3 linked regions of the Caenorhabditis elegans genome follow. The protein of the gene in region 3 purifies or fractionates together with the protein of the main gene of each other region. This does not show direct contact. Each region holds a gene or a part of one and is shown on either strand. Other genes may lie near its edges. The genes, in order: K01A12.3, C48B6.2 and F59G1.4.

Region 1 (13,242 bases), on a different chromosome or scaffold from region 3:
TTGAAATACATTTATCAGTTTAAATAAAGTACTTGAATAGATTGAGAATCCGTTTATTCTCAGTATGTGGTGTTTTAATAAGCAAAAAAGTTTATTTTAAAGTAAAAAAAGCTAAGTGAAGTGTTTTTATTTTATTTAATCTATTGATTCACAGGCTACAATAAATATTTTGAACTGAAACATTATGAAAAATGGAACATTTGAGAGCAAACAATTATTACTTGATCAGAACATAAAAGGACCACTCCAAAACATTCGAAAACCACTTTTTCACTGAAATTGACGTTTTTTTGATCCGCTGATTCTGTGTGGGAAGATAAGTTTGAGAAGTAAGAGAGAGAGACTAGCAGGACCAAAAGTTTACACGCGCTCTCTCATCTGAAAAGAAGGTTATAGTGGAGTGACGTTCCCAAGAAACTTGATTTCGGCATATTCAGAGAAATTTCTTTTTTGTTCTGTTTTCCTTTTATTTCATGAAGTGTCCTTGTCTTTCAAATTTGGTTTTACTCGTCGTTTTGCATCAAAACTGACTCCGGAAAACTGGGAGGAGGAAGAAACCGAGCGACAAGAACCAAAAAACTAGGAAAGGAAAACGATTGGTGTATTCAATCCAACTCACTAGTCAACTTGTTCTTCTCATCGTCTATCAAAAAAGTCCGGATGGCGACAGGAGACATTGGGGGGGGGGGGGGGGGGGGAGACCTCAAGCCCTTCTTCTATCCTTTTTCATATAAAGATATATTCACTGCTTTTTCTTTTTGCTCCCCCACCCCTATTTTGAGCTTTTCAATTTTGATGCACTTTACGCGATTTCAAGACTATTGTTGAAGCCGTGAAGTATCCGGGGGCCACCCAGTTTAATTAGAATTCTGAAATTTCCTATATAACTGGGTGGTAGCTCAAATTGAAAATTTGTTGGTATTGTTAGCATCAGTAAATTTGATTGGAATTTCGTATACATTTGCATAATAGTCAAACATGTCCATAATCGAACATTCCAAAAAATGTGAGCAATGTACAATGTTCAAAATCAAATTATTGGAACAAAAACTTGTAGAAATAATTGATATCGGTCTACTATTAAAATCATGATAGATGACCACTGTGACGTCAACTGTGAAAATCGAAACAGTTTCCAAAAGATTTACTATTATATTTAGTCATTTTAGTAACAGTTGAGAATACTCCACCTTTAAATTAGGTTCTTTCAAAGATAATTGATAACGTCCACCTGCCGTAAAAAGTTACTACAGCAAATTTGCTGAGTGAACTATATTTTTTTGTACGTAGTATCTATACATTTTTCGGATGTTGTAGTGATTTTTTCTAAATTTCAATAGCAAAAAGACGATAATAAAATAAGTATTTGAACATTGTACTTCATCGAAATACTTTGTATCAAAGATCCCTCTTTAAGATGGATATTTTCAGAGCCACCTTACTACATGCTAACTTACTTTAAATGTGACCTCAGACCCCTTACGCATAACGAACAATGTTCAGAGAGCGTCAATTTGAGAAGGAGGGGCAAGTGAAAAACGAGGTTAGGAGAGATTTCATCCACTCTTCCCCACACAGACTTCTCACATTTGATATGTGCGCCTTTCGATCGCTTGTCTCTTCTCTTTTATTCACCCCTGCTCTCTGTTTTTCCGGAAACCGGCATCTTGCGGGTTACAAAAATAAAATATCATTAAAGCATAGAAATAGGTTCTCTGAAAATAAATGTGGCATTAGGGAGGGGATCGGACACGCCATGATGAATAGGAAAAACCTTGCAATGCTCGGAAAAGTCTTATCAATCTAGATAACTCTGGAACACTCCTTGGGTAGATTAGTATATCATGAAAAAATAATTGAGATTTTCAATCAGAGTTGGAGTAACGACCCAGAAAACGTTAAAAAATCAAAGTAACACTGTTCAAAAAAGTTTTTTTAAAATTTAATTTTGTATAAAAAAAGTGACAACCACCTTATATTCTATCAAAATTGCACCCAGGCGCACAGTCAATAATTAGTCAGTCTTGGTTTGTATTGCACCAAAAATGTTATTTTTTGTTTGTGCCTTGCATTTTGTCAGAGCCTATAAAATAATTTACTCTTTTGTTACGACAGTTCACAATTTAAATTATCTTTCTTTAGTCTAGTTTTTAAAAATCTACGAACTTTTCATAAACTTGAAAATTTAACCGAAGCTTAAACTACACTTAATAATCTTTAAACGTGTGAATTTTAATTATATTATTTGAGCGTTTTGAACTCCATTTTTAACCAACATCGCGTTTAGTGTCCAGTTAAGTTATTCAAACTGTATATTATAATGAACACAATTCTTCCAGCCAGAATATAAAATTTAATATTATGTGGAACAAAAACATTATTTGGTGATAGTGTTTAAAGGTTTGTAACAGTTATTTGTTGAAAAAATATTTTAACCAGTAAAATGTTATGACCAAATTACTTGGTTGCCTTAATCTTTAATTTTTCATAAAGGCTAAAATAATTTCTTGAGAGTTCTAAAACAGACTCTCTGGTTAATTTTTTGCTTTCTAGCTTTTTACGTCTCTGTAGTTTTTTCTTTTTTACATTTTTGCTACAACGACATATTTTTGTTAGAACTTTGATAGACTAGAAATAAAAGAAAACTGTAATTGGAGTCTGAAACTATTCTTACATGTATTGTAGCGTCCGAAATTTAGTTATAACGTAATTGTTCTTTTTTGCGTTTTATTAGCTGTGTGTTGCGCACTTTTCATCAATCAAAAGAATTTTTCCATAAAAAGGGGTTTTCGTTTTTTTTAATATTTTATATATTAGATCCACTTGAAGCAATTTGAAGCACATTTAGATAATAAAAAAGGTTTTGAATTCAAATTGTTTAAAGTTTAAAGGCGATTCTCAAGTTTTGCTAAAAAAAAAGGTTAACCCCTCTACACCACAATCCCCATAGATTCACGTTATATGTTCCCTCATTCTCAAACACCAAAACAAGCACTTTTGTAAAATTGAAACGTCAATTGAAGGGTGCTTGGATACAAGATAAATGCCACCCTTCTCACCAGAAGTTATAATTTCACTGAGTTGAAAAGCTATACACCATGACACTGAAAGAAAAAAGAAACCGAGCCACTTTTAGATATTGGAGCGCTGTGTGAGCGATTTTATGGCTCCCCGTATCGAGTTGGTTACTAAACTCGCTCAAACCTTGTTTTACACAATACCCAAAAAAGCTATATATATTTTGATATCCTATTGTAAAACATATCACCTCAGAGCACTTCAAAGTTTAGTACCAGCTGCATTTATGCATGTATACGTGTCTGCAGCTCTTGGCAACCGTCCGACGCACTTGACTCTTGTCTTGAAAAGTTTCAGCTGTTTTTTTTTTCATTCTGAAAAAATCAGGACTTGAAGTTTGATAATGCCACTGTCAAATGAATGTTAAAAGAAATTATTGTGTCTGGTCTGTAGGCAATTTTACTCTATTTCGGAATTTTCGAATTTATTAGGAAAATAAAATACGCTTCAGCTTTTAGCTTTGGAAAATTGAAGCAACACTTTTTTTCCAAATCTCATTCACCATAAATTAAAGGAAATAAGATTTTTGCTCAATAATTGCAATTGCACGCCCCTGACAACAAAACATTCAATATCGTCATTATTTTCTATATACTCCTCTGTAAATGAAATCTTATGAATCTAAAAAATTATAGATTTGAATGGAATATTGTTTGAATGGGATAAGCTACTTCCAGTATCTTGTTTACCTTAGTTTACAACGTCTTCTTTTTCGACTTCGTTTTGTCATTAATCTCACCTAGCAGGCAATCACGTGTTCATTCGTGCCTACCTACCTATCTTCTATTTTTGAAATCAGTATTCGGTGTTTGACACATTTCACGCTCACTCATTTTAACTAATCTGTTGGAAGACAACATTTTGGCAAGTAATGTTCCCATTCTCGTAGGCAGGCCTGTTAAAGCTTTAAAAATTCTTGACTGAAAAATAGTGACATTCAATAGTTGCTCTTGAGCTCTCAAGCACATGCCCTCCTCTTCTACTAGCTCATTGACTCAACCCACATTTTCTAGCTCCATTCTTATTTTCTATCTCATTTCTACTTTCCAATTTCAACAATTTTTTTAGTAACAGTGATCAATTGTTCCACGGTATGTGGTAGCGTTGCAAGGAAAAATGGAGTCGGTTACTAGACATCGGGCCGATATGATCTCGTTTTTCACATTCGACTCATACATCTCAATTGTCGGTGTGGCATACACAGCTGTTGGTAAGTCGGGGCGTACTGTTTTTTTTTGGAAACATTAAAAATATATTTTCTCATTTGTTCTATTTGGTAATATTGAAAAAAATTCCTCCGGGATTTTTTTCGATGCGCACAGTGAATCATTTACAAGTGCTTATTACTGATGGGTCTTATTACTGATGGGACTAGGAGACTAGGAGAAACCTATATACTCTATAAATACAATGAAAATTCTCGAACAAAAGTTTTTTGCAGGTCTCTTGGGAGTCTTCTGCAATGTAACAACGGTTATCATGATTCTGACCAACCGAGTGTTTCGCCTTTCCGCATACACAATAATGGCAAATGTAGCACTGGCAGACAGTATTGTCATGTTAATTGGTAACTTTCACAAAAAATTAGTAGTTGAAAACTTTTTACAATATCATCAACTGCTGTGCACGGCGATCGGAAATTTTCGGCAATTTCGCCAATTGCCGAAATAGCCGAAAATTCGATTTCCGCTCACCCCTGATCATCAGTATCACAAAAAACTTGATAAAATGTTTCTAGGGGGTAAAAAGTGAAATCTGAGTCACACCGAAACGTGGCCGCGTGGCGCAATGGATAACGCGTCTGCCTACGGAGCAGAAGATTGTAGGTTCGAATCCTGCCGTGGTCGAAAACATTTAAATTTTTTTATTCGATGTTTTCGGCTAATATACATTTTCTGCTGTACGGCTTGCAGTCATTTGGTAAAAAATCCCAAAATTAAGAAAAAAGTATATAGGGGGCACCCGGAGTTGAACCAGGGACCTCTCGATCTGCAGTCGAATGCTCTGCCACTGAGCTATACCCCCACATGTACAAAAGTGATCCAGCTACGGGAAAATGATTGACATTTTGCGGAGATATGACCAAATAAACTGTTTTGGACGTTCTCCGTGAAGGACAAATACGCCGGGATGGACAACTGACCGTGTCTGCGTTTGTCCAATTTCCCACACAGCTTTTGGTTTTTTCTCAACAAATTGTCCATCATTTCTCTAAAGCCCAAAGCGTGAACGAATGTGGGGGTATAGCTCAGTGGCAGAGCATTCGACTGCAGATCGAGAGGTCCCTGGTTCAACTCCGGGTGCCCCCTAAATACTTTTTGAACAACAACTGTAACCTAGCAAGTAGTTCAATAGAGCGCTGTTACTTCAGCCCGATTGATTTCCATTTATCATTATCTTTTCTGCAATGATTCTTGTCCGCCAATTCCCTCTCTCTTTTCTTAAAAAAGTCAAATATTTGCTGACCACATGGGGGTATAGCTCAGTGGCAGAGCATTCGACTGCAGATCGAGAGGTCCCTGGTTCAACTCCGGGTGCCCCCTAAATAATTTTTGACACATCGACTTTTGTTTTTTGAAAAATTGGCAAACCGTACTCCTAAAAAAGAGAGAACGAATTTTAAAAAGGTTACGACCACGGCAGGATTCGAACCTACAATCTTCTGCTCCGTAGGCAGACGCGTTATCCATTGCCCCACGCGGCCACGTTTTACCTTTTCTTCGATTTAAGTTGGTTTGCTGAATAGTTTCATCCTAAAAAATTTGCTGTTTCAAAATTCAAAATGATAAACACATTTTTTTAAGTTTTGCAAAATACTTAAAATAATAGAATTTAATTTCAGCTGGTGTAGCATGCGGGATGGATGTTATGTGGCCAAATCCAAATGATCTCACGTCATTCATTCCCAGTCTTGAAGAACCATACCAGAAGGTAATTTTTCAAGAAATCTATTTTTTGGAAATTTCGACATCTCTTAATTTTTTCAAGTTCAAGCTGCACTATCTGAACGTTTTATTATAGATTGCCCCTGTGTCGCTCCGAAACGACTCAAAAACAGATTCATCAGCAGCTGGTTTCGAGACTGGAAATATTCACGCGGTGCTCTCGTTTTCATTTGTCGCTGCATGGACAGCTGGAGTGGTCAGTGTTTAACTGCAAAATATGCATAAGTGAAGGCGGGCCTCTATGTCACCAATATTAAATTTCAGAGAAAATATGAAAAAAAAGTGACATACTTCCTTTTCGCAAGAAAAATTGCAGACATATATTTAACAAAAGGGGGCTCAACTCAGAAAGAACACTATCTTGTTCCAAAAAATAAGTTCTTTGAATACCTAAATTTTTTGTTTTGCAAAAAAGTTAAAAAAAAAAAACTATAGCCTACCTCTCAGAATCTATGAATATTTGTTAGTAAACTAACTTAACTATAAAAACATTACAAAATATTTCAAAAAATATTAGTACACTCAGTTTTAGGGGGCACGAGTGTCTAAGTGGTGGTGGTGTAGCACTTTTACCTAAGAGGTCGTAAGATCAACCCCACCCAACCCAAAGGCTCACCAAGCCGGCTCGGAAAGTGGGTAGTGAAATTGGTTCAAGGCAGGTAAATCGGGCATGCTTGAGACGAGAAGAGGTAAAAACGCCACCTGTAACCCTGACAAATCTCTTATCCGCAGGAGGCTTTGTCAGCTCACTCTTGTACCAAGAAAAAACCTACCTTTATTAATTTTTCCAGAAGTGAATAAATTTAAGTTTTGCTTTAATATCTTTAAAATAACATTCTCCAAGCGAAAAGAAAAATCTTAACCTGAAGAAAATTTTTTAAATAAAAAATTTGAAACTTTTTCTATAATTAACGCTTTAAAGTAATTCATATTTTCAGATCAGCTACGCAATGCTAGGAACGAACCGATGCATTGCAATATGTTATTATGGAACTAAAGCAAGAGCACTCAATCAAGTATCAGTTGCTGTTGCTTGTTCTGCAAGTACATGGATAGTCGGAATTGCAGCGGCACTTGTTGGAACACTGTCCCAGCCAATGATTGGAATACAGAGAACTATGTGGAGTATCAGTTTTTTAGAACCAAGACCTCACACGAGTATGTTGCACTTTTAATTAAAAATGTACAATTTTTGATATTCTAGCCCTGTTTTTCACACTTCTTTGCGCTGCAAATCTGCTCGGTCTTGGAGCTCAATGGGTGTGCTCAACTTTGGTTTTGCTGAAAATTCGTCAAGTAAAAAAGAAAATCAGCAAAAACAAACTTAATCAAAACTCAGCAAACAGATTCAGGAAACAGGTAATTTTAGCGCTCAATGAAATAATTGTAACTGGCAATTTCAAGGCTCGACTGACGTTTCAATTCTTCTACCCATCAATTTTGTGCACAATTTCTACATTTCTCTTTTTCATCAAACCATATGCATTTGAATATCTTTCCGGGTGGCAATTAGTTATTCTTCATCTCGTAAGCTTCAAAACTTCTAAACTTAAAATTGAAACTTGCAAAGTTATTTTTTCAGTTATGGTTGTGCAATCATACCTGTAACCCATTTATTTATGCATATTTCAATGACAGAATGCGCTTGACATACAAAGAAATCTTAACATGTGCGGCGATTCGATATCAAATCAGAAAACGAAGATCGAGTCACCCCTTCAGAATGCATGGGCGACATAATGTTTCTAAGTATGCTTGTTTCTTTTTCGAAATGCTAAAAAAATATATTCACGACATTTTAATTCAATATTTCGAAAATTTCCAGACGATCCAACGCAGCTGGAATGAAATCGACGCGAATATCAGCTCGATCGGGCCGTACAAACAGGGACGGTAATTTTGTGCGCAATTCACTGCAAATGCAGGTGAGTGTTGCACGAGCACATATTCTTTAAACTTTTATAATTGTTATTTGAAGAGTCGAGACTTTGAGCAGCTATGCGAGTTCATAATGAGAGTCAACCCATTGTACGATTCCAGTGAGGGATGGAGGGAAAGTAGCGATGATGAACCATTCCAGCCAGAGGTAAGGACTTGTCTTTCTAGTTATTCAAAATTTAAAATGGTATACTAAACTTTTCTAAAGCTTAAGCTTTAATCTATACCCAAAAAAAAGACATATTTTTTGATAAACTTAATGCATAGCAAGCGAGGTATCGAGAGTCGGAATTGAAAAATTTTCAATCGCACCATTTTTCATTTAAAAAAAAGTTATTCTAATTTAACCCATTACTTTTTGTACACGAAAACAGCTTGAGACAAAACTTTCAATACGTTTTAAAGAACGGTTATTAAAATTTTTAAAGTGATGACTAAACTCATAAAGGTGAAAGGCAGTAATGCTCAAGAGTAGTTAGTATACATACCATCCAACAATTAAAACTAAATGGAGTAATAAATTGCATCAAACAAAACATTATTGAGAAAATCTTGAAAACTCGATTATGTTACTGTTTAAAAAAAATTGGAATAAAGTTTTTTTTATGTATCTACTCTTCAGAGTTTAGTTCATCAATATGTGTAAACCATTCTAATTAGTATCAGTAAATTTTAAAAAAAGTTCCGCTGAAATTATTAATTTTTTACAGTTCACAAAAGAATTGGAATCTGCTCACAATCAAGGTGGATCATCCCGATTTGACAGCGAACGAGAGGCGAAATCTATCGTGCTAGATTTGGGGCGGCAAACAGTTGAGCATTGGGTGAAATTTGCCAAAAAAGCGAGCATTTAATTATTTTAATGGATGACCAACTACACATCTTATTTGATGATCTCTTTTTCCTCTCTAATGATCTATGAACATCTGATTCTTGCCAAAATTACCATTTTTACATGTTTCTATCTGTCACCCAAATTTGTGAGTTCATATGAACAAAATCTTCCATGTTGTTGTGTGTTCCCGTGTTGTGCACTAACAAAGAGAGTTCTCGCGACTGTGATATTTCAATTTGATTGCATAGCTTTCGGTTTTCTTTTTTCATTGTACTTTTAAAAATTACCACATCTCCTCATTATCACACATTTATTCCATGTTTTACCATGAATTGACATTCTAATAAAGCCATAATCAAATTTTATAACATTGAAAAACATTGCACTTTGTAAAATTGTCTTATTTGGCGGAAATTTTATAAGCCTACGTGCTTACCTGCCGCCTACTTTTGCATATTAACATTAACGTTTGGTTCTTGTATAGTGTACGTAAAATAGTTTATTGCCTATATTCAAGTAATTTATTTAGAATAAAACTGTAAAATACAAATTAAGCAAAAAATGATTATTTCTGCAGTGCATATGTACTCTGGTAGGCACAAAGTAGGCATGTAAGTTGCGACTATTTAGCGGCTCAAAATTGTAGAGAGTCATGTGAAAATAATTTATTGTGTATCAAGAAATATAAAATTAAAATAAAAATTGGCTTGCAACATGCTCAGTCCATGAAGAAAAAAAATGGGCAAAAACTTGATAGATTAATTAAACTAAGTTAAAAGGAGTAAAGAAGCTGAGACCGGATGAAATGAATCGAGATGCGAGGAGTAAATAATTACAGGTTGGCCACACGTGCTGAAATTTGAAAAATTAAGAAGTTGTTTATTTTTAAAGGCGAGTGTCACTCTAGGTTGATATTTTGGACTTTAGTAGTCCCCGGAGGGTTTTTATTGACGGATAATTAAAGCAATGACGCAAGTTGCATTCTTTTTGTTGACTTTATGAAACGTGTAGGAAAGAATTGGTACAAGAGAATTTAAGTTCATTTTACCGACTCATTTAACAAAAAAAGTTGCCTTGTTTTGACTAAGATGTTCAATCATTTTGACACCATAGGATTGGTTTTTAACAAATTATCTACTGGCGCTGATCAATCGTTAGAACGCATTCAATTAGTCAAATTTAAATTGCACACTTTTTATTAAAACATTATCACAAATTGAGTTCAATTAACACGGTGTTATAAAGTGCTATCCATTCTTTAAGTAGACTCTTTGTACTATTGTCATTTCCGCAATATAGAAGTTTTTAGTAAAAACGTACTCATGTTTTCTGGTTAATTTCAGGCATGCGAAATCAAAATCATTGGCTGTAACTCCAAACGAGTGATGCTTTATTTGAAAATTGGGCGCGTTAATTATCTGAAAATGTGTTATAAATTGTATAAGAAATTTACGATTTACGATGTCCACTATGGAATTGACTATAACTAGCTTTCGTTAGACCACTTTACTTTCTTGACAATGTTTACAGCTGCGTACAAAATTAAAATACAGAAATTTAAATTGCGAGGCGTGAAACATATGATTGAAAGTATAGACCCGTCAAAAAGCTAATGTTGTCACTAAATCAGCCAGTTGCTCTGTTAGCATGCCCACAAAACTTACGATCATTGGGTTCCGGTGTGCGCGCTCTCTGGAGGCCTGGAACTTGTAACGTTGAGGTTGGCACAACGGGTGGCGTTGGTGGTGCTGTTGCGTCGCGATGGACTACTGATGAGCCCTCTCCATTGTTGATCGAAGTTGGTTCGATAACTGTAAAATTGAAAAATTACAAATATTTCGAAAACGTGTAGTCTACATATATTTACCACTTTACTCAAACATTTCTAAGTTCAAACTTTTGGTTTTTACATACGTGAACACAAGATTTTCTGGGCGGATTACCTACCATGGATTTTGACGTCGGATTCGGCGTCGAGCAGAAGACGCAAGCACGATGAGCACGCTCCCATTCTCTCGTCGTTGTCGAATGATGAAGAGGCGGGTCGAGAAAGAAGTTCTGCAAAAAATACGCACTTTGAAAAAAGATTAAGAACAGCAATCTGAAGTCTGGGTGGGAAAACCAAATTGGAAAGCTTAATCTGGGAGCAAGACGTCGTTTGACTGTCCGCATCTGGGAATCGAAACGTAGAAGATAGGCGGAGCTCGGAAATCAGAGTTCAAACTTATGTTCATATTATAAATGGCAAGCAACCACAAAAATAATTACACGTTACATACATAAGCGCGTTAAGAAAACATCAACAATGAATTCATAAGGGAGCTGAGACATGTGGCTGGAATTTTGGTTCAAGATTAGTGTTTACGATAATACTGTAGATTGTGAGGCCAATCAAATTTTTGGGCATTTCAAACATTCGGAAAGTTCCAAAATTTCAAAAAAAGTTGTACATAGAATATTGAAATACAGTTTTAAAAATATTCTACCTATTTGGGTGTGATATTAACTACATTGTTCAGCTTTGCCCATAAAATTTTTAGATTTTAAAGGAATAACAGATAGGTTTGTTCTGTTCCGTTTCAGTTAGACGCTGATAAATCTTCACTAATTTTTTCATCTGATTTCAGAAATGTGACAATTCTATTGAAAAATAATCACCATAGCTCTTTAGAAAACGTTGCAGCTAAAAAGTGATATACTTCTAATACAGCAATAGACAAATGTTGTCATTTAACATACATTTAACTTGAACAAAAGATACGGCTAATCTGGTAAATTGGCGTGTCACATGTTCTGAGTGAATGTTGATATAGCCGAGGTATGTGGGTATGGAGAAGTTTCATGGAACTTGTATAAAGTATGACTGCAGGAGTAGAGTTATTCGCTTTAATGGGAAACAATGAAATATTATTAGACAATGATGTTAATGTGTAGACAACGATCACATATGCTTTATTGACACGAAACATAGATTTTTTAACACATGATACATGTGTATTATTCCGAAACTTAATTGCTATGAAACACCAAAAATTAGTAAATGTAACAAAAACCACAAGAAAAAATGCGAGATAAATGTTTTAAAAGTTACCTCAAAATTTAAGTTAAGTTTGTTTAAAGGTGGAGTACCGAAATCTGGGGCTTTGCTTTTTATACCCAAAATAAATTTTGATTTTAGCTGAAAATGGGCTACTTTTTCCAAAACTTTGAACCACCATAACTTTTTTTTTGAGTTATTTTAAAAACGTCTCATTACGAAATTCAGTAGTTTTGGACTATTTTGGGTATAAAAAAGCAAAGTCCCAGATTTTGGTACTCCACCTTTAAATATCTATCTATCACTACATAGGTTCCACAAATCCAATGATGAGTAGCAATATCTACAATAAAAAATACTGGAAAAACCTTTTCAAAGTTGTGTTAGATTATGTTACTGTCAGTGTTGGAATTTACCAAAAAGAAGAATTCAGTTTTGCGAATTTGAAAAAAAAAACATTCTAAAAATATTTTGAAATGTTCATTATTCAAAATACGGTAATATCTATTTTTTCTCTTAAACATAAAAGTGCAATTTTTCTAAGCCTACGAACACAAAATATTTCACACGTTTTTATTTTATTATACTAAAAATTATTTTTTAACTCGCGCTTATCATACAGCCAAATAATTAAAGTTTTTAATTCTTTGGTGGAATTAAAAAGTCTCAAAATAAAATGGGATGTTTAAACTTTTGAGTTCATATGCTCAACGAAACGTTGAGAATTTTTTCAGCGATTAGAGGAAAACCGACTATTATAATTATGCGATAACAAAAAAATAAAAACTCTCGCGAGTTGTCAGAATTGGCGCACAAGTTAATTGACGGTGTTATGAGAAGCATACGGCTTGCTTTACAGCTCTCATCTTTGCATTACCTGTTGGCCGAAAAACAATATGCTTGGGGAAGGTAGACTGATCATGTGCTTTAGGAGAATTACTTGATCAGAACATTGATGATCAGACAGAATGATATTTATTTACTTGATATTCCAGTATTTAGAGTTTAAAATGAAAAGGTTATCAGTATTGAGAATCTATACATATGACGTTAACTTTTTCATAGATAATAACTATTGTGTTAACCTTTTCATTTTACAAATCTAACATCACAGTGAAACTAAAAACCCGACATCAGCGGAGCCATCGGGATGAAGAAATGGGAGGAAAAAAATGGAAAGTGGATTCAAATTAACGGGTGCCTTCTGACTGCAAAAGAAACCCTTTATCCCATCGTCAAGAACCCTTAGGGAGTCGTGTGTGTACTCGTAAGAATCGAATTAGTCAAGCATGAATTTTCATTTATTTAGCAAAAGAACGATTTGTTTTCCAATCGAAATGAGTTTTAGTGAGTTTTTATTTAAGCTTGAACCAGATTACTTGAAGAACAAAATCTATGGCGTCTCGAGA
Region 2 (7,211 bases), on a different chromosome or scaffold from region 3:
TTATAACATTTAAAATTCCCCGTTTTTTTTCTAATATTCTCGAACTTGATTTCCGACAGTTCTTTCTTTTAATAAAAAATTATGTTAATGTTTTCAGTTCGCATAATATGTCGAATCATCACTCGAGCTGTTCTTCGAGAACTGGCGGTGCCCACCGTCGTTGTGATTGTACTGAGGATCTGACGGAAAACGATAAGCTGTGGAATGACTTTGAAGGATGTGCTCAAGCTGTGGCTCGTCTCTATTCGGACTCCTCTTGGAGAAATTTCAGAGGCGCTGCAGAGGGAACCACGCAGTTGTACAAAGTAAGGAAATTGTTTAATTTCATGAAAATCGATTAATATAAAAAATTCTAAATCGAATAGAAAATTTAAATGAATTTAATTTCAGACATCTACTGACAGTTATCGTCGAGGATTTGAGAAGGGATTTTCATCGGGTTGTACGAGTATTGCCAAGGAAATATTACAAGCATTTCGAGATCCATCCAAAATTGATATGAACATAGTTCTCGAAGTATTATACAGAAATATGGCAATTCCGCGAGAGGAACGACTTACCGTCAATACTCAAAACGGAATCTCATCCGACACCTTAGCGGCGGTTGAACTTTTTCAGCAGGTTAGCATTTTTTTTTGCTTTGAAATCTAACATATTGTTTAAACCCCTGAAAAATCGAAGAAAAGTTTTATGTTGAGGTTCTCATTTATTTTTTTGTTTTTCAGGCACTGAACCAGCCGCAAGTCCCACCGCTGAGCACATTGAGCCTATTGCCACCGACAACTAGAGAACAGACGACAGACACTTTGGACGAGTTTCTCGCTAGTCAGGTGAGCATATTTTATCTATAACTTTGAAAAATACATACAAAAAAAACGACAAAAAAAGTAAAAATTCCTGCTTCACACTTATTTTTTTAAAGGTTCAACGCCACCGAAAACGTCAGCGATCACCAAATAACTCAACGACATCTCCAACGTCACAAATGAAACGTCAACGACGTCTTTAAATCTCTCAAAAATCCTCATAATTCTCACTTTCCAATCTCTTTTATTAGAATTTCCCTTCTTTTCTAGTAGAAGAAAACTGAAAAACGTTGCCTTTGACACCGGTCTTAAAAACTCAAAAATGACTGAAAATCCCTTTTAATCACTGCTATTATTACTTGTTTTTGGAAATTTCGAAAGCATCGGGTCTTTTGAATCTCATGGTACTAATGCATAAGTAGAAATCTATTATCTAACCTGAAAATGCTTTCGTTTTCAAAAATAAGGAAATAAATTTTGACCCCAAATTCAATTTTACTCAGATTTTTTTACTTCTGTACTGGTTTTCTCTTCTCTCTCGCTTCCCCTCTCCTCCAAAATACTCTTTAATTCTCGAATTTCCAGTTGATTTTCAAACTTTTGAATACTTTACTCGGAGTGATCTTCTCTTTTTCGCGAAATTTTAAATTGTTTCTTATTACAAGTTCTAGCAAGTTTCAGGGTTTCATTCTCTGTGTAGATTTCAACCGTCGATCATTTTGTAAATAAACCGCCATTTCCGATTTTTCCTGTCTTCATTAATGCAATATTATTCTCTTTTCTAGTGTTGTTTCTCATTAATCCTCCCAATTGTAATGAAGCTATGAAATTTCTGATTTTTATATTTTTTGCAATCAGGTTTAAATGGTTCACAAGCCGAATACTTGTTAAATTCACCCAAACGGAAATAATTTTATTGAATTCTTGTCTTTATAATTCTACATTTAGTCAAATAAGCGTCTTCAAAGTTTAGTTTTTTTCTTATTTGTTAGAATATATGACTTTCAGACAAAAAACCCCGACAAAATGGTGCGAAAACTGAAAACCCATGAGCAAAAGCTGCTTAAAAAGACTGACTTTATGTCATGGCAAGTCGATCAGCAAGGAAAACAAGGAGATATGCTCAGAAAGTTGGTGTAAATGATAATAGCTCTGGAGTTTTATATTTATTTTTTAGATTCTATGTGAAAAAAAGAGAGCACTACGCTTTGTACAACACTTTGGCTGCAAAGGTTACAGTTCAAAAATCGGATAAAAATAAATATTTCTAATCTTGAAAATTTTCCAGAGTCGTGAAGTAGCTGATCTTATCAAAAACCTATCAGAATCGGATCCCTTCCGATCAAAATGCACAGAGGATATGCTCACCAAATTTTACGCAGCTGGACTTGTGCCCACTAGTGATACGTTGGAAAGAATTGGAAAGGTTTTTGTCCTGTTTCGATTTTAATTACACAAAATAAAACATTTTTAGGTGACTGGAGCATCATTCGCTCGTCGTCGTCTTCCAGTCGTGATGAGAAATATTGGAATGTGTGAATCAGTCAAAACTGCGTCAGATCTCGTGGAGCAGGGACACGTTCGAATCGGAACGAAACTGGTTACCGATCCAGCATTTATGGTTACACGATCGTCTGAAGATATGATCACATGGACGAAAGCTTCGAAAATCAAGAAACACGTCATGGATTATAATAATACTCGAGACGATTTCGATCTCATGGATTAATTTTTGTTTGTTTTTAAATTTTGATTTGTTGCTGTTGTTGTTCTCGTTGTTATCAATAAACATTTTCAGATGTTATTGAATTCTAAAATGTATAAAAATATTCACAAACTTACAAAAGCTTTTGAAATTTCATTCAAAAAGGCGGGTCTCGCAGCGAAATGTAGAGCTTGAAGTCGACATGAAAATGAATTCATGTTTAATAGAAAAACTATAAAAATAGAAATCTTCATTAAATTACTTAAATATGTTCTTCTTTAAATTAATTAAGCTGTCACTTGTTGCTCTTCCTCTTCCTCTTCTTCTCTAATTTTTGGTAATTCCTTTGGCGAGTGTTCACATAGTTTCTCAATCATTGTCATTTCATTTCCACGATCTGTTTTCACAGCCCATCGAAGGCGATCTCGTAGAGACTTTAATTAATAAAAAATTAGTTATTATACAGTTGTAAAAAAGATTTGACGAAAAAGTACGGTACCAGGTCTCGGCGCGATTAGACATCTATTGCTCAAAAGAGTTTACACCATACCACTGTGGCATTCTGGGTTCTGCTTTGTAACAATTTTAATCGACTTTAATATACTCGTTCTTTGAATAAAGTTATTTTCGTTACAGTCTTTTTTTGATTTTCTCGGCATTTATCATTTATTTTGAGTTTACAATGTTTATATAATTTTTAAGCAGGATAAGCTCTGCACATTTGTTGGTTAGTTTTGTCGGTTTCTTTATTAAACTTAAACTAAATATAAAAAAGTTACCTGTTGAGTATTTGCCCAGAAAGATCCATTTAAAATAGTATCCACTTTTGAAAGTTTTGACAAATCTGCTGCCAATTGGAATAATGAGTCTGAAAAGTTCTCGTGAGACAACTAAGAACAACCTACTTACTACTTACTCAATGAAGCCTTTTGATTTTCAATTTTTGCAGTTAAACTATTGTAACTATCCATTGCATCGAGAAGCTGCAAAACTCCCATAAATTAATTTCAAATTATTCACGATTTCCATTACTTCTCTATATGATTTATCAAACAGTGCATCCAAAGAAGGCAAATTTCCCATATTTCCAGTTTTACACGAATTCAAAGATAATGCTTCAATTGCTCGAACTTCTTTTGTTCGACAGTCAATTTTCTTTGAATCTTCCTTTTTCTTCGTTTGAAGCTGTAATATTTTTTGAAGGATATTATTTTTTCTTCTACTTAAAAAAACTTTAATACCTCTTGAATTTCATCCAATGTTTCTCTCATGTACTCAAATGGAATAACTCCTCCAATTTCAATTCCCGGCGCTGATTCAGCAATTCGTTTTACCAATTCCCTTGATGTTATTTGTAATAATGAAATATGTTCTGATTGAATACGGTAACGATCTGGAAATATTTCATTCTCCTCGTACTTCGAAGTTTCAAATTAACGCTTTCCATCTGGGCACAAGGAATATCGAACAAATTCCAAATTCCAAAAATTTAATAAAATAGGCTTCGGGCAGGCAAGCTTAAGGTAAGTACGTAGGCATACCTGTCTATGCTTTATTGAAATGGAAGAAACTTACTTGACTTGTTGGCTGCAAACACTGAAACTGTCTTATCAGAGCCATGAAGAGAAAATCCAATTGCTTGTGGATTTTCAGATTCGAACTCTAAAAATCATTGTTAAGATTTGAGTTCTATAAACATCGCACCTTAAACACTCAAAACTATCGTTAGTTAGCGCTGGTATTTTTGGAAAATCACTCATAATAGTCCATTATATACTAGCATCGTTAATATCATTAATAAACACTTCAAAAATTTTAAATAACTTTGAAAACGTTTGTCCTACAAGTATTCCAAAAAAAGTTAGTTGCTTGGCACATGTTAATTAATTTTCTATATTACAATAGTTATGCCTTTTGTCAGAATGAAGGAAAAATAGCTCACCAGAAAATAATTTATTCAGTGGCATAACCGATCCAGCTGTATCAATTGTCACTTTATATTTTGCATTTCTATCAATTTGTGATTCCTCAAACAATACTTTGAATGGCAAATCGATTGATTTGGTGACTGTTACTAAAAATAAAGTTATTGAACTATTTTAATTCGGTTAGTAATCTGAAATTACATTGGGTGAATGCGCAATGTGCTGCAATAGTGACTTTATTGCTAGTTGGAGATTTTTTGGATCCGACGTAAAATGGAATTTCAATAGATGCAGTGGACTCTGAAAGGTAAATGGATTATTAGAGTTTCAGAACAAAATAATTTTTTCAATAAATGTTGAATTGAGTTGCGCTTTCTGTAGATTCGAAAAGTATTAAATTTATGCAACAAAAATTACAACTTTATATGTTTTTAGATTTTTCCACTATCAACGTTTCCAATACTTTTTTTCAATTTTTAAATTTACCATAACTGTTTTTGTTCTTAGGAACAAGAGTTCAATGTAGAACATTGTTATAAACGAATTTGTTCCAGACCGAAAGTTTATGATAAAAACTTACTTGAAGTCCCCACATTAAGAATTACTTGTTTGGATGGAGAAGCACATTCCGATAGAATATTGATGTGAAGTTTAGAAACATTTTGAACTTCTGAGAATTCTACAATAAGGTTGCAGTATGGTGCATTGCTTGCAGCATTTGGCTCAATCTAAATTAATATTTGAATAATGTTCCAATGAACAAACTTACAGTTCGTTTACCAATTTCTCCAATGCTCAGCTTCATTTGAATTCCTTCTTTTCTTTTGATAGCTCCACCGGCTGCATCTGATTCCTTGATTTTTTGCTCCATTCTCTTATATTCTTCCATTCGTTCCGCGTAATTTACTATCACTTTGTCCTCGGGTAACTGTAATTTTTTTGCGATAAAAATAGTGACCGATTTGTTTCAATTACCATAGGTCTACTGTATCTGTTAAAATTACTTCTAGTTGACACTAATTTCGAATATTATATCTTAAGTCTAATTCTATTAATATTTGAACGAAGATAAAGCTGAATACATATTAGAAAAGATTGTGCAGCGCCAGTGTGAGAATTGTTAAAGACCACTCTTAAACAGTCAAAAATGAAAGTAAAACATTAAAAAAAAAGTTTAAGTATGATTCTTATATTCCAAAAATTTGGCATTTTGCCAAAACTATAATTTTCGAAAGCTAAAAATGATTTATCCTGATACTTGATAATTTTAAATTATAAATGGCCCTATATCACATCTATACAAAAAAAAATCTCACCCTATATAAATTTGGCTCGGTTCCAAGATATCCAACCACAACTTTACCGTCTGGTGCCATCATTGTAATGGTATTCTCATAGGATTTGCTGAAATATTAAAATTCTTATTTTAATTCTAGAAATGTCAAAAACTAACTTATAAGAGCAAACTAATAGTGCAACTGGTGACATTTGAGCATTACAGTTCCATACAAGTTTATTATCTTGAAATATTAGCAATGTATCGTCAGATGTTGAAACTATTAAACGATTGAATTGAGTGTTATCTGATTGAGAGTAAACATTAATAAAAGTTTGAAAATATATGAAATCTTACTAATCAGAAGTGATCTATAAAGACACATTGCCATTCCAACAGCTTCTAAACGAATCTGCCAGACAACTGATCCAGTTGCATTAAATGCAGACACGTGTCGGCGGCATAATACAATGGTTGTTGGTTTAGATCCTTCGGTTACTTTCATTTGTATTGCAGTATCACCCAGATTAAAAGACCAGTCATACTGAAAAAAAGAAGACTCAAATTTACTGTCAGTGTAAAGTCAGCATATTTGAAAAAATGTTCAGCGTTATCAAAATTCGACAGCTTGGGTTTATTATTTGTAATTAACTCAATACTTTTTAGTTTCCCGATGATATTGGACATTCGAAAAATATTCAATAGTCCACAGCTTACATTAATCTTTTTCTGCGATCCACTTGACATAAGACTGAATTTGATAGCAGCTAAGAATCCATTATTTGCAACAAAAAGAGTTTGTGTAGTCTGACAGTAACCGATTGGTCCTGGTTGAAGAGCTCTCAATGGAACCATTGAAAAAACACATTGATCTCCTTGAAACAAAGATAATTTACAATCAATTGATTGCACTAATATCTGTGGAGTTGATTCTTCAATTGGTATTACACACATATTCCATGCAGATGTTGAAAAAGAATGAGAGAATATCTCATCAAGTGATGCGAGGGTTTCATCAGGACTTGCTGAAATTTTAACCATTTCGTACCAGGGCTGTGCGGCTGTCGGCTGTCGGCATCAGCCGACAGCCGAATTTTTTTACCAGCCGCACAGCCTTGTTTCGTACTTGAGCCTATTATTTTTTGTATATTACAGGATGACCCGTATTTATTAAGACAATCCGAATCAAATATTGTATTTATCTCTCTTTGAAGTTAAATAAACATGTATCAACAACTATCGGTTTCAAAATGAAAAGACTCAAAAATATGGAGCCTGTCAAAATAGATTTCATAGTTCGATTTATCAAAACGTGTTTTATATTAACGAATTAGAAAGATGTATTCAATTATTAATGTAATGTTGGATCAGGAATATCTTGGAGTTGACCTAGTTTGCAAAAAAACAGTTTTTATGATACCACATCTGTTTGTCATAATTATGAGCCACTCTGTATGATAAATAACAGCTGAATAGATACATAACTTACCAAAATGAAC
Region 3 (11,060 bases):
ATTTCAGTTCACAAGTGAGTTATCAAGTAAAATGTAAAACATTTAAAAATTATTTTGAATACATTGGAAATGTACAAAAATAAATATTTTAACGTGCTTTCCTTATTCGATGGATTAAAGTTTAATTAATCATTTCAAATTAAAAACATTTCTTTGTAATCTTGTTATGGAGAATAGATGTCTACTTGAAGCAGTGAGCATTTTGTGTCAAATTCCATGTACTATTTTACAAATTCTATCATATTCCAGATGAACCAGCTCAACTCATTCACGAAGCGTTATTCGGAGCTCGAGGAGCGTAACATGTCCCTCTCGGATGAACGTACCCGCCTCAAAACTGAAAATTCAGTGCTGAAAGAACGAATGCACAATTTGGAGGAACAGTTGACTGATAATGAGGATCGATTCAAGCAATTGCTCTCCGATGAGAAGGCACGTGGAACTGAATCAATGTCAAGGTTGAAAAGAGAAAAAGAATTGGAAACTGAAAGTTGGAATTTGAAATATCAAATGCTTGAGAAAGATTTGATTTCTGTGAAAAAAGATGCTGAAAGATCAAATGAAGAAACAAAGAGAATTCGAAATGAATTGGAGAAGACTGAAAATAAACTTGAAGAAGCTCAACTTCTTGTAGAAGGAATGGAAGAAGAACGAATTCAATTGGAACGACAATTCAGAAAATTCAAAGAAGAAGCTCAGCAAGATATTGATTCCAGCAGTGAAATGGTTGAAGTGTTGGCTTTGGAAACAGAAGAATTAAGGAGAAAAGTAGATGGTCCCCGATCTGAAAGTATCTCTGATCGTGAAGATATGCACGAAGAGATTGAAATTTTGAAAGCCAAAGTAGCAGAACTAATGAAAGAAAAAGAAGAAATGACTGATCAATTATTGGCTACTTCTGTAGAACGGGGAAGGTGAGTTGACATTCCAAAGTTTTCATTCAAAAACATTTTTTCTTCAGATCTCTCATTGCCGATACACCGTCACTTGCTGATGAACTTGCCGGTGGTGATTCTTCTCAGCTTCTAGATGCTCTTCGTGAGCAGGAAATCTGCAATCAGAAGCTTCGAGTCTACATCAATGGAATTCTGATGCGTGTCATTGAGAGGCATCCAGAAATCCTTGAGATCGGAGAAGAAGGTGTAAGTGGAATTTTACAATATTCTTTGAATTTAAAAAAAAAGTCGTACTCGATCTTGTCCAGCCTGATTGTATTTTTTTCCAGGAATCCTCTCCAAGTTGACGGTGCGCCGGAGAATCTCAGTCCTCGCCAACGTCGTCGTCATCATCGATTCCAGAAGAGTCATCATCACCGACACTTTCAGCAAGAATCTCCGCCTACCTTCCCTCATCGTTTCTTCGATGGGGATGAATAGACACATGACGTCATCAACGATTGGCACTCAATTCCTTGTGACGTGGCATGCAACATTTAGTCTTTTTTTTTCTTTTCTCCATCCCTGTGATTTTCAAAATGCTTTACTTCAAATGTTTCTTTGTACAATCTCCTCGTTTTTAGTCCCCTTTACCCCCTCCAACAGTATTTTCGAATTGCGTGCCACGTCACAGATAGATCCCGTTAACGGGTAAAATACCATCCATAATATGTACATCTGAGACTGAGATCCCCCTCCGACCCCCCATTTTTTCTGGACCTTTTTACCCCAGTGATACACACATTTTTTTTTGTTTCAAAACTTCAATTTGCCCAACGATAATTTTCCATTCGCACCCCATTGATGATCCATACATTTTGTGATATATAGCATTTTTCTGCCCATCATTTTTTCCGACTTTTCCCCCCTCGAATATTTATAATTTATATTCATGTGTTTGTATTTTCCGTCTGTCTTTTCTGAAAATTCTTGTCATTTTCATGGTTAGTGATAGTTCTTCTCTTCTTTCCGTGCCGATCACCAATTTTTGAATTCAATCGAGCTTTTTATTGTTGTTTCACTAAAATTTCTGTCTGTGTAAGAAGAGTTTAAAAAGAAGAAGAAGATACAAAAACGAAGAATAAACATGCATTTTCTCAAAACCATGCATTTTGAATGGAAACAGAACAAAAAAATTTATAAAGGGAGAAGATGAGACATGCAATACTTCTTCATCAACTGAGTATTATACAAGAATTCAACTGGTCATTTTCATTTTGGAAATAATCATGTCTATCGTTTCTTTTCTACGGAGCCTGCTGATTTTCAAACTTTCTTTTAACTACGTATTCCAAATATTTTACAGTTTTTTTTTATCTACCGAGAAACTGTTTTTTTTTAACTATGTCCTGAACTATATTTTGGAAAACGCAGTCATATTAGTATCGTTAAATTTTTGCTCATTGACATTTACAGAACTGAGCTCCAATTCTGCATCGTTACCTGTTCCCGTTTTAGGTTTTTTGTGATGTTTTTATATGCGTCGTTAGATTCTTTAAATCAGTTGAATAGGGAAGGGTGTGGGCGTTTTGCGTGTTCCTCAACAGGAAACCAGGAAAAATTGGTATTAAAAAATGAAAAATCCTGAGTTGCATGTCAAACTTTTTATTCGAACAATCTTTGTGTTTTCACAGATTATTTTGTTCTCACAATCAGAAGTAAATTACCGTTTCAAATAAATATTTTTAATTCTGAATCGATTGGCGTTGCTCAATTATTAAGAAGAGCTGGCTAAACTTGGCCTTTCGTTGAGCCTTCTCAGAATTAATATTGTCGATAAGAACTTATTATGAAAGAACTCAACCAAATAAGGTTGCCAATTGTGAACAATGATTATGATCAAGATTTGCTTACCATTAGAACATGCACGTTGCTTATTTAACTTATAAACTTATCACCAACGTTTTCTTCTCTAAAGTAACTTTCAATCACAACTACTAACTTCATTTCACCTGCTGTTTTCCGTTTATCTTGAAAAAATGGCTTGTCTCTAGTCTTATGACTTACGGAATTGGGCAGTAAACAAGTGAATGGAAAACAAGAGAGCTGTAGTATTTTGTCTGTACAATAAACCAGAAGCTATCAATTATTGAAAAGCGTCAGTGGAAGGTGATTGGAGTGACTGAAAGATTGTTATTAGAGCTTTTGAATAAATCGTTTTTGCTCTCAAGATCTCTGAATGTTTTGGTAAACATCAGTCCTGATCGAGAATTAGTCCCTGCACGCAAAACTAGTAAAGAAAATATAGTATCATGAATTGGCAGCGGGTAAGTTTAATTAAGACACTTCTTGTCCTGAAAGATCAAAATTTCCCATAATCCTCTACTACTTGGCTTCTAACTATTTCCAAAGAATCAGCTTATCCAAATTTCGCAATTCCCAGTCAACCTCAGACTCGACCTTTTCAAGCCAGAAACGCGAAACTATATTTCTGATTTGTTCGAAACAAATTCACAACCAAGAAACCAAGATGTGTGAGAGGAGGAAATAAGAAAAGATAAAAGATGAAAAGGTAAGCAACACGTCGTCACGGCAACCATTGTCGTCGGTTTGTTCGGCTCACCGCCCCGCATTTCAATGGTAATCGTCCGTGAGAGGGAGAGGAAAAGAAAGAGCACGGAGGCACGCGGCTGGGACGGACGGACACCTTTTCTCTCCATTTCCATCGGGTCCTTCATTTCCCCATTTCTCATTTTCAAGAAGTGTTTGTGAATTTTGAATTAAAGTAGAAGATATTTTTAGAGTGATAGAGAGAAGTCATTCTCTGTTTCTGATAACATCTACATCATTGGAAAGTTTATTTTCATGGGAATGTCTAGAATGAAATATCAACCTTTCATTGTGAATAATCAGATTAACTATCAATACTGTAATAAGAATTAAATTCTCTCACGATTCTATAAAAGTTTCAAATCATTGCAAAATCTCTATTTCCTATTTTTCTAGGTCTATCCATGATTCACATAACCTCGTCATTTTCTAGTTTCACGCCAACTTCTGCTCTGGTTTTTGTGGGAAATTTTGAATTGTGTATTTTTAATTTGCTTTTTTCTAAGAAATTGTCTGGTATGCTTAATAGAAATCCGCATCCCAATAAAGCGTACGCGGAATGTAATTGTTTTAAGACTAATTTTTCACATTTTTGTTACTTTAAAACATCTTGGAGACGAATTTTAGAAAAATCACAGAGCAAATGTGCAACTTCCCCATTTCCCGTGCTCTTTGATGATTTAATACGGACCACTTTTGGCCTCACTGGTGTTTGAATCGAAATTTATTTTCGTTTTTTTTCTTGGAATCCAAAACTTCTCCTTTTTTTTCTCAACATGCTTTTTTTTCAATATCAGGTAATGAGTTCTTGAGATTTCTATGAAATTGTGTTTTTGTCTGCTTGGTTTTTTTTGACATTTCATTAATAACAAGGAAGTTATTTATATTTTCTCTGCTTAATCGAAATCATCATCTTACCACCTGATCTGTTTACATGGTGCCTGGCAAACATTGAGTTTGAAATCTAATTATAAAATATTGATATGATAAGATCAAAGATATGTTAGAGTTTCCTATGAGTTTTTTTTTTGCAAAAGTTTCAGCTTCAAAGTGTTTTTATTAAAGTTTTTGCATTAATTACACAAATTTAAATTAATTTCCTTTTCAGGTAAGGACATTTTACTTAAACGTTGCAATAAATAGTTTTAAGTGACTTCCAAAAAATCCTTATTTTTTACTCTTTAATAGTAGAATATAGGAAAAATACCACGCTTTTATATTTTTTTTGCAAACCTTGAACGGCCTGAATTTTGAACTTTATCGTAACTACTCAACAAAATTTTTATAATTCTCTGGTTTCTTACAAGTCCAACTTCTGAATAGTTTTTCATAGCTTACATCTGATTTTTAGGTACAGTTGATGTTCTCCAGTCTAGTCCTCTTGAGAATTGAGTCTTGTGAACAGGAAATTGTTATCGACCTATGCACTTTTTGAAAGGATAATGTACTTCTCGCAAATAACATAATTTGTAGATATAGTCCAATTTTTTATTCCCACAACAAAACTACAATTCATTGAACACTTTTTTGTCTACTATTCTGACTTCATTAGCTTTTACGTTTGTTTTTACTCCGTTGCTTTCATTTCTAATTAACCGGAAACTGATTTTTCATCTCTCTTAAACTTCTCCAGTCTCTATACTTGTTATCACAAGGTTCCTTTCTAAATCTGGTGCCAGCCTTCTCTCTAAGTCTCCAAAGATTTCAAGATTTCAAAACACCTGTCAGAAGTGTCTCTAGTAAACTGATGCAGAGACACGGGGACAAGTTTTTGAGCCATAATTGCTTCGTAGGTTTCCGTTTTTCACACAATCGTTTACCTTCCTTTTTTATGTCGCCGCGTCTTTTTTCTTTTTCGACTTGTTACTTTTTTTCAAATTTCATAAATGCAACAAAAAAAGAAAAAAAATACAAAAAAGGAGAAACAAGAAAACAATAAGTGCTCTTTTGCATTTTTCATGCTTATCTATAATTAATCGTGGTTTTTCGAGCGTTTAGTTATGTTTTCTTTCTTCTTTTTCTCATTAAACTTCTTTATTTTTTAAAGGAAAATGAAACCTCCGACTGCAAGAAAACCACCTTCGAAACGGCCAACTACCACGATAGCTTGCCCAAAAAGTATCTAATTTAAAAATAAATTATATTGATTATTTTTTTGAGTTGCAGGAAGTGGATCCGAGTTTGATGAAATTGAAGAAGCTCCTCCAGACCCTAGAGCAAGAAGTAGAAGTGAGGATGTGTGAGTTTTCAAAAACAAAATTGAATTGAAAACTTTAAAAATTTTAGAAGCGTTCATTGTCTACTACGAGAAATTGATGACAAGAAATTAACGAATTTGATGGGAGGACATCCATCAGCAAGATCATCTGCTTTAATTTTACAAGCTTTAAGACAAGTGAGAATAAAATGGAGAATGCTGAACTATAGCTAATATACAACTAGAATTAAATAATTACTCCATTCAAGTTATTTCTAGAAAATTTTCCGTGCTCTTGATCAGATTTACAAGCAACGTAAAAATTAGCATGTTTCTCAGAATTTTGATTTATGTAGCCTAACGAGTACGTATAGTTGATCTTATGATAAAACGTATAATTAGTTGGTGAAAAGTTTTGATTATAAACTGAATATGTACTTGTTTGGTTGATACTCGAAGCTGATTATTAGAGCTGGAAAAAAGATTAAAAAAATGAGTTTCCAAGTATTTGTAGTTTCAAAAACTCTACTTACAAGGAAAGTGTTCGAGATCACATTTAGACGTCGATTTTTTTTAGAAAGAGAATAGGAAATAATTAAAATTAAAATTAAAATAGGAAGGAACAAGTCGATCGGAAAATTTTACAGTACAATTTTATGTACTAAGGCAATTTTTTAATCATTCCAGTAGCTCGAAAAGTGGTTTGAAAAGTTGCAGATCGATTTTTTTTCTAATTCAAATTGTTCTTCTGCTGCTATTTTTTGTTTCAAACGTTTAAATGTGAGCTGAAAAATTTATCTTGTAAACGTTATTTAAATGTTATTGTGATTTTGAAAAAGCTAAGGTTTCTCAAATAAAACATGTTCAATTAAACCCTATGCAAACATAGAAACCATCGTATTTTCAGCAAATGTCGGTAGCCACGCTTGATGAATACGTTCGAGACTCTTTGGAATGGATGGTATCACATGATGTATTGATGTTAAAATCCAAGAAAAATGTGAGCATAAAAATCATTTTTCGATTAATGATTGTATTACTTCAGAGCCTTTTTGTGCGAGTTCTGCAAGCCGATGGTGTAGATTCCCGTGAACAAATGGCTAGGCTCATCAACACAATGGCCAGTTATACCAGTGGTCGCAGTTACTTTACAGGTATTTGAAAAACATTTATAATTTATTTAAATTAAAATTCAGTTCATCACAAAATCTTCCTTCCTTGCCTAATTGCTGTTCTCCGTGGCAAACGGATCCCATCCACAACACATGATCAGTTGATTGCATGTGTTCAGAAAATGAGTATACGGTAGGAAAATTGAAAGGGAAAATAATTAACATGACATTAAAATTTGTAGAGCAACTTGTCAGAAGGAGTTGATTCAAAGTGGAATGTTGGAATGGGCGGTGAATCATTTGGACCAGAAGCTTAATAATTACGCATTCGAATATCTCGCAGCACTTATTGTCAATCTGTCAACAAATGTAAGTTCCTGAAATCTAACATTGAAAATAATATAATTGTTCTAAAAATTTCCAATTTCAGTCATTGAGCCATCCGTTAATTACACGACTTGCTGATTCTTTTGCAAACTCGATTGCCAATTTGGTAGTTAAGATAACACATGGAGTGAGTTTTAAATTCACATCGATATTATCAAACTAATAGTATTTTCAATATTATTGAATGCGTTCAAGCGTATTTCAAATAAGCAGTAAGATGCTCCATTTCTGTCCCGCGTCCTTCTCATTAGGCGCCTCTCCGTCTTGTTTTTCTCGTGCCATGAAGAGCCATATAAGGAGCGGCGCCTGTGTTTGCTGCTCCATTCCTTTCATTCGTTATTCACAAGTCAGCTTAATGTCGGGTGGCTTGTATAGTTTTTAAGATAAATGTCTCCAGTTTTTGAAATAATTTGGAGCTTTTAAAATAGTTTGAATTCTAATTTTAATTAAAAACCCCTTATTTCAAACTAATTACCCTTATTCACAAATTAATATCTTTAAATTTTCAGCCCTCATGCTCTCTGTACAACACTCTTCTCCTTTCGGTACTCTCGTGTCCACGTATCCGTCTTCGTGCCAAAGATACAAAGCTTCTTGAGGCTATTCGTATCCGGTTGGAAACTCGGAGAACGTGTCCGCTTTGCAATCTTCACATACCTTTCTTAATCGCAGTTGTTCATCAAGGTGGGTTTTTGTAACAAGAAAACTGAATGAAAAAGCATATGGTAGAAAAATTTGATAATTTGGTCAGATAAGTATATAAAGGAAATATTTGAAAAATTTGAGTATTTTTCAAAAATGTGCTTGCAATTATAATATTTAACAAAACCATAAACCAACCAAAACCTTGAAATTGATGATTTTTTGTTAGTGTGTTTAATCCCAAATTTATCAGTAACTCCGTCGTAGTAACCCATAACCCAGTAGTACACTCTTTAATTCAATAAAATGTCTTGGTTATAGTTAATTTCTTTGAAAACTCACAAAATGATAATGAAGACAGAAAAACTATCATATTTTTGAAATTTCTTGAATTGTTGGATTACAGAGAGCCAATAATTTTATCACGTTGTAACTGAAAATTACTATATCCTATGGGCCCATTTGAGAGTATACTAAAGTTCAGAAAGACCCTAACTTTTTTCTGTTCATCTCTACTCTTACACCCCTTGACACTAGACGTTACATTTTGTATCCAAAAGGCGCGGCGCCGTTAATATTTGTTTGTTTTCCTTATTCGTTTTCGTTTGCATCCTCATTCTCAACACCTCGTTTTTTTCCCTTTTCTTGCACAAATTGAGGTCAGTCGGTCAGTAAACCCCCCCCCCCCCCCCCCCATTGAGGTGACCAATTGGTTTTTCTTTTCCTTTACTTTCTCCTTCACTTTCTCTCTCTCGGATCACCAGCCGAAAAAAAAAATGAAAGGGAGCGAGGAGTCCACGGGTGCCTGGACGCGCCGGGATGGGAAAATAGAAAGAGAAAATGAGAGAAAGGATGGAGATTTCTCTCTCGTTTGCACTCATCTGACCGTTCCTTTTAGGCTCTTCCGGTCGTGCAAGAGGAAATACAAAAAAAACATAAATAAATAATCATAATAAGGAAGTTAATGTTGCGATATTTTGCTCGATTCCAAAAAAAAAAAGAGAGTAAACAAAAGTGAAAGGGGATGATGTGTCAACAATGAATAGCCGCTCTATGAACTTTTCGATCTTTAAATTTAGAATCTAGTTGATTTTTGGTTAAATGGATTCTAGTTTAAGATGATTCAGCCATCTCCTGATAAAATACTAAGATTTCTTGCAACTTAAAGTTCTCAAAATGCTCACTGCAATTTTAAGTGTCTCAAGACTTTCATTTTGGAATTTGTTTTTTTTAATACCATCTAAAACCATTCAGCTTTAAAAAGTTCAAACTGAACCATTTAATTGATGATAGCTAAACTATTTTATAGATATTATGAATTTAAAGAAAATTGAGCACATAGATGAATTATAAAAAAAACAGTGAACAGATAATTTACAATTGATTTACCGTAGTTTCTCTATTAGTATTGCACCAGACTTTGAATGGTTATAACTCGGATCATTCTAAAAGTATCTACAATTAATTAATTACAGAGCTATAGAAAAATAACTAACAAATATTTTATCTGTTGACAATTTCTGTATAAAGCAAACAAAAACTAAGCTATATTAAACAATAAGGTGAAATACTAATAGTGAAAATACGGAATTTTGGAATTTGGAACTTGAAGCATTTTCTATTCTGGTTTTAGATCATATTTTCTGGTTATTGAAATTGGAATAGAAAATGAACACATTAACCGATGTGCAAAACAATTTCAACACTCTAATAAAAATTTGAATCTAGAGCATTGCCTTTTCCCTATTTCAACTGATATTTCCTCTTCCAATACCTGAGTGATAACCGGGAGGTTTTACTTTCACTATTCACAGCGCCAGTCGTTCATGTCCTGCCCATTCCGTAGTTTGATAATAATCGAACTGTTCACCAGCGCCGTTTTCCGCATATTTTTGCAAGTGTCACTTTTCATGTACCCATTTGAGGGAAATGAAACAACGAAAAACCAGTTAGACTTCTACAGTTTCTTCTTCTTCTTCTCCTTCTCTTTCACTCCACCAACTAATCACCTACCGTACCCCTTACTCGTTTTCTTGTGTTCTCTCAAATTTCAATATTCTATCACATGGTTCAGGAGGAAAATATTTGTGTCTGACGCCACTTGATCGCTTTTTTGTCTATTTTAAAAATGTAGAAAATACATAGAAACTGTGGGATTTCACGAGGTAGTTATGAAACGAGATCGATAGTTTTGAGCGAGAAAAGGGGTGTTCTCTACGTTCGATTGTGTGGAACCGAGAATAGTTAGACACTATCTAGAGAGCATTCAAAAATAAGAGAATTTAAGATAGGGACGTGCATGACGGACGCGGCGCCATCGGCCAGAAGAACACTGCCATTGGCTTTCATATCCCTTTCCTTATCCCCTCTTTCTGACTGTTGCCATTGAATATTTGAGCTATTTTGTCAAATGACAAATCCAAACCACCTGGCTCATTAAAATTCAATTAAATACAATTAAATTCAAGAGAAAGATGTGCCAGGATTCATATATTCAAATTTTTATGTGCATGTAGGTATTACCGTGTCATTCTTTCTACGCCATTCTTTCAAAGTAAACTGATAAGCAGTAATGGCGCGAGCACCGCCACGCCAAACGCCCAATGTCATTTCAAACATGTATTGTTTACTAGCTGAAGTCAACATGGCAAAGTTTTCAATTTTATTCGTATTTTCTATATGTGAAGGTAGGAAAAAGTCTAAGCTTCAGAATAGGAAAGCTCACCATTTTTTTAAATTTTGTTGCAAAATTTTATAGGTCAGAATAAAACATACAGTATCATATTCTTGATTCAGTGTTTCCCATTAAGCCTTGTTTGAGGATAGTTCAAAGTTCACTACTTTCGAGGATTAGAAGTCTCAAAATCATGATGTAGAATTGAAACAAGTGTTGCCAACTTTCAGCAGAAATTCAATTTAGTAGAGTACACCAACTCTTACCAATGTTATTGTTAACAACCAATCCAATGCTCATCTTCTCTGAAATTTCTCTGAACACAGTTGTTTTAGAACTAGATAAAGTTCTCAGAAGTTTCCCATAGGTTACTGTAACGACCTTTCCCACCCATTATGTCTTGGTACCCCTTCCTAGAGACGGCGAATTTCGAAAACGAATGTGTATGTGTACCAGCCGTCCAGTTCAAATGGGCACAGGGGACAATCAAAATTGCACGACCTCTCTCTCTCTTTCTATGTTTCGTTTTTCATCCTCTTCTACTCCGCGCTCACTCCGCACCG

Evidence for each region.
Region 1: the proteins of F59G1.4 (region 3) and K01A12.3 fractionate together in Caenorhabditis elegans (co-fractionation; one large-scale study listed by BioGRID). This does not show direct contact.
Region 2: the proteins of F59G1.4 (region 3) and C48B6.2 fractionate together in Caenorhabditis elegans (co-fractionation; one large-scale study listed by BioGRID). This does not show direct contact.

What each region holds. Positions count from the first base shown.
Region 1 is NC_003284.9:8,616,143-8,629,384, reverse strand, and holds K01A12.3 (putative G-protein coupled receptor K01A12.3), read left to right. Parts: upstream 1-4,194; coding exon 4,195-4,288; intron 4,289-4,519; coding exon 4,520-4,645; intron 4,646-4,845; exon of another isoform or gene 4,846-4,934; intron 4,935-5,019; exon of another isoform or gene 5,020-5,103; intron 5,104-5,315; exon of another isoform or gene 5,316-5,387; intron 5,388-5,549; exon of another isoform or gene 5,550-5,621; intron 5,622-5,709; exon of another isoform or gene 5,710-5,782; intron 5,783-5,920; coding exon 5,921-6,009; intron 6,010-6,099; coding exon 6,100-6,219; intron 6,220-6,961; coding exon 6,962-7,181; intron 7,182-7,227; coding exon 7,228-7,550; intron 7,551-7,605; coding exon 7,606-7,772; intron 7,773-7,848; coding exon 7,849-7,948; intron 7,949-8,001; coding exon 8,002-8,109; intron 8,110-8,671; coding exon 8,672-8,815; downstream 8,816-13,242. Other genes in the region: K01A12.2 (uncharacterized protein), read right to left, coding at 9,629-9,648, 10,461-10,607, 10,744-10,807.
Region 2 is NC_003279.8:6,914,952-6,922,162, forward strand, and holds C48B6.2 (U3 small nucleolar ribonucleoprotein imp3), read left to right. Parts: upstream 1-1,814; 5' UTR 1,815-1,832; coding exon 1,833-1,936; intron 1,937-1,983; coding exon 1,984-2,038; intron 2,039-2,094; coding exon 2,095-2,232; intron 2,233-2,280; coding exon 2,281-2,535; 3' UTR 2,536-2,610; downstream 2,611-7,211. Other genes in the region: haps-1 (Essential protein Yae1 N-terminal domain-containing protein), read left to right, coding at 108-305, 391-621, 726-830, 923-1,009; bbs-9 (Protein pthb1 homolog), read right to left, coding at 2,799-2,945, 3,291-3,379, 3,428-3,494, 3,544-3,696, 3,753-3,904, 4,087-4,173, 4,454-4,585, 4,638-4,736 and 7 more. UniProt on the Caenorhabditis elegans protein: Component of the U3 small nucleolar ribonucleoprotein. Required for the early cleavages at sites A0, A1 and A2 during 18S ribosomal pre-RNA processing.
Region 3 is NC_003280.10:5,890,638-5,901,697, forward strand, and holds the start of F59G1.4 (LisH domain-containing protein), read left to right. Parts: upstream 1-5,532; 5' UTR 5,533-5,536; coding exon 5,537-5,603; intron 5,604-5,651; coding exon 5,652-5,724; intron 5,725-5,771; coding exon 5,772-5,880; intron 5,881-6,589; coding exon 6,590-6,682; intron 6,683-6,727; coding exon 6,728-6,836; intron 6,837-6,878; coding exon 6,879-6,987; intron 6,988-7,036; coding exon 7,037-7,163; intron 7,164-7,224; coding exon 7,225-7,308; intron 7,309-7,690; coding exon 7,691-7,865; intron 7,866-9,591; exon of another isoform or gene 9,592-9,691; intron 9,692-11,060. Other genes in the region: rfip-1 (FIP-RBD domain-containing protein), read left to right, coding at 1-14, 250-914, 962-1,140, 1,226-1,590.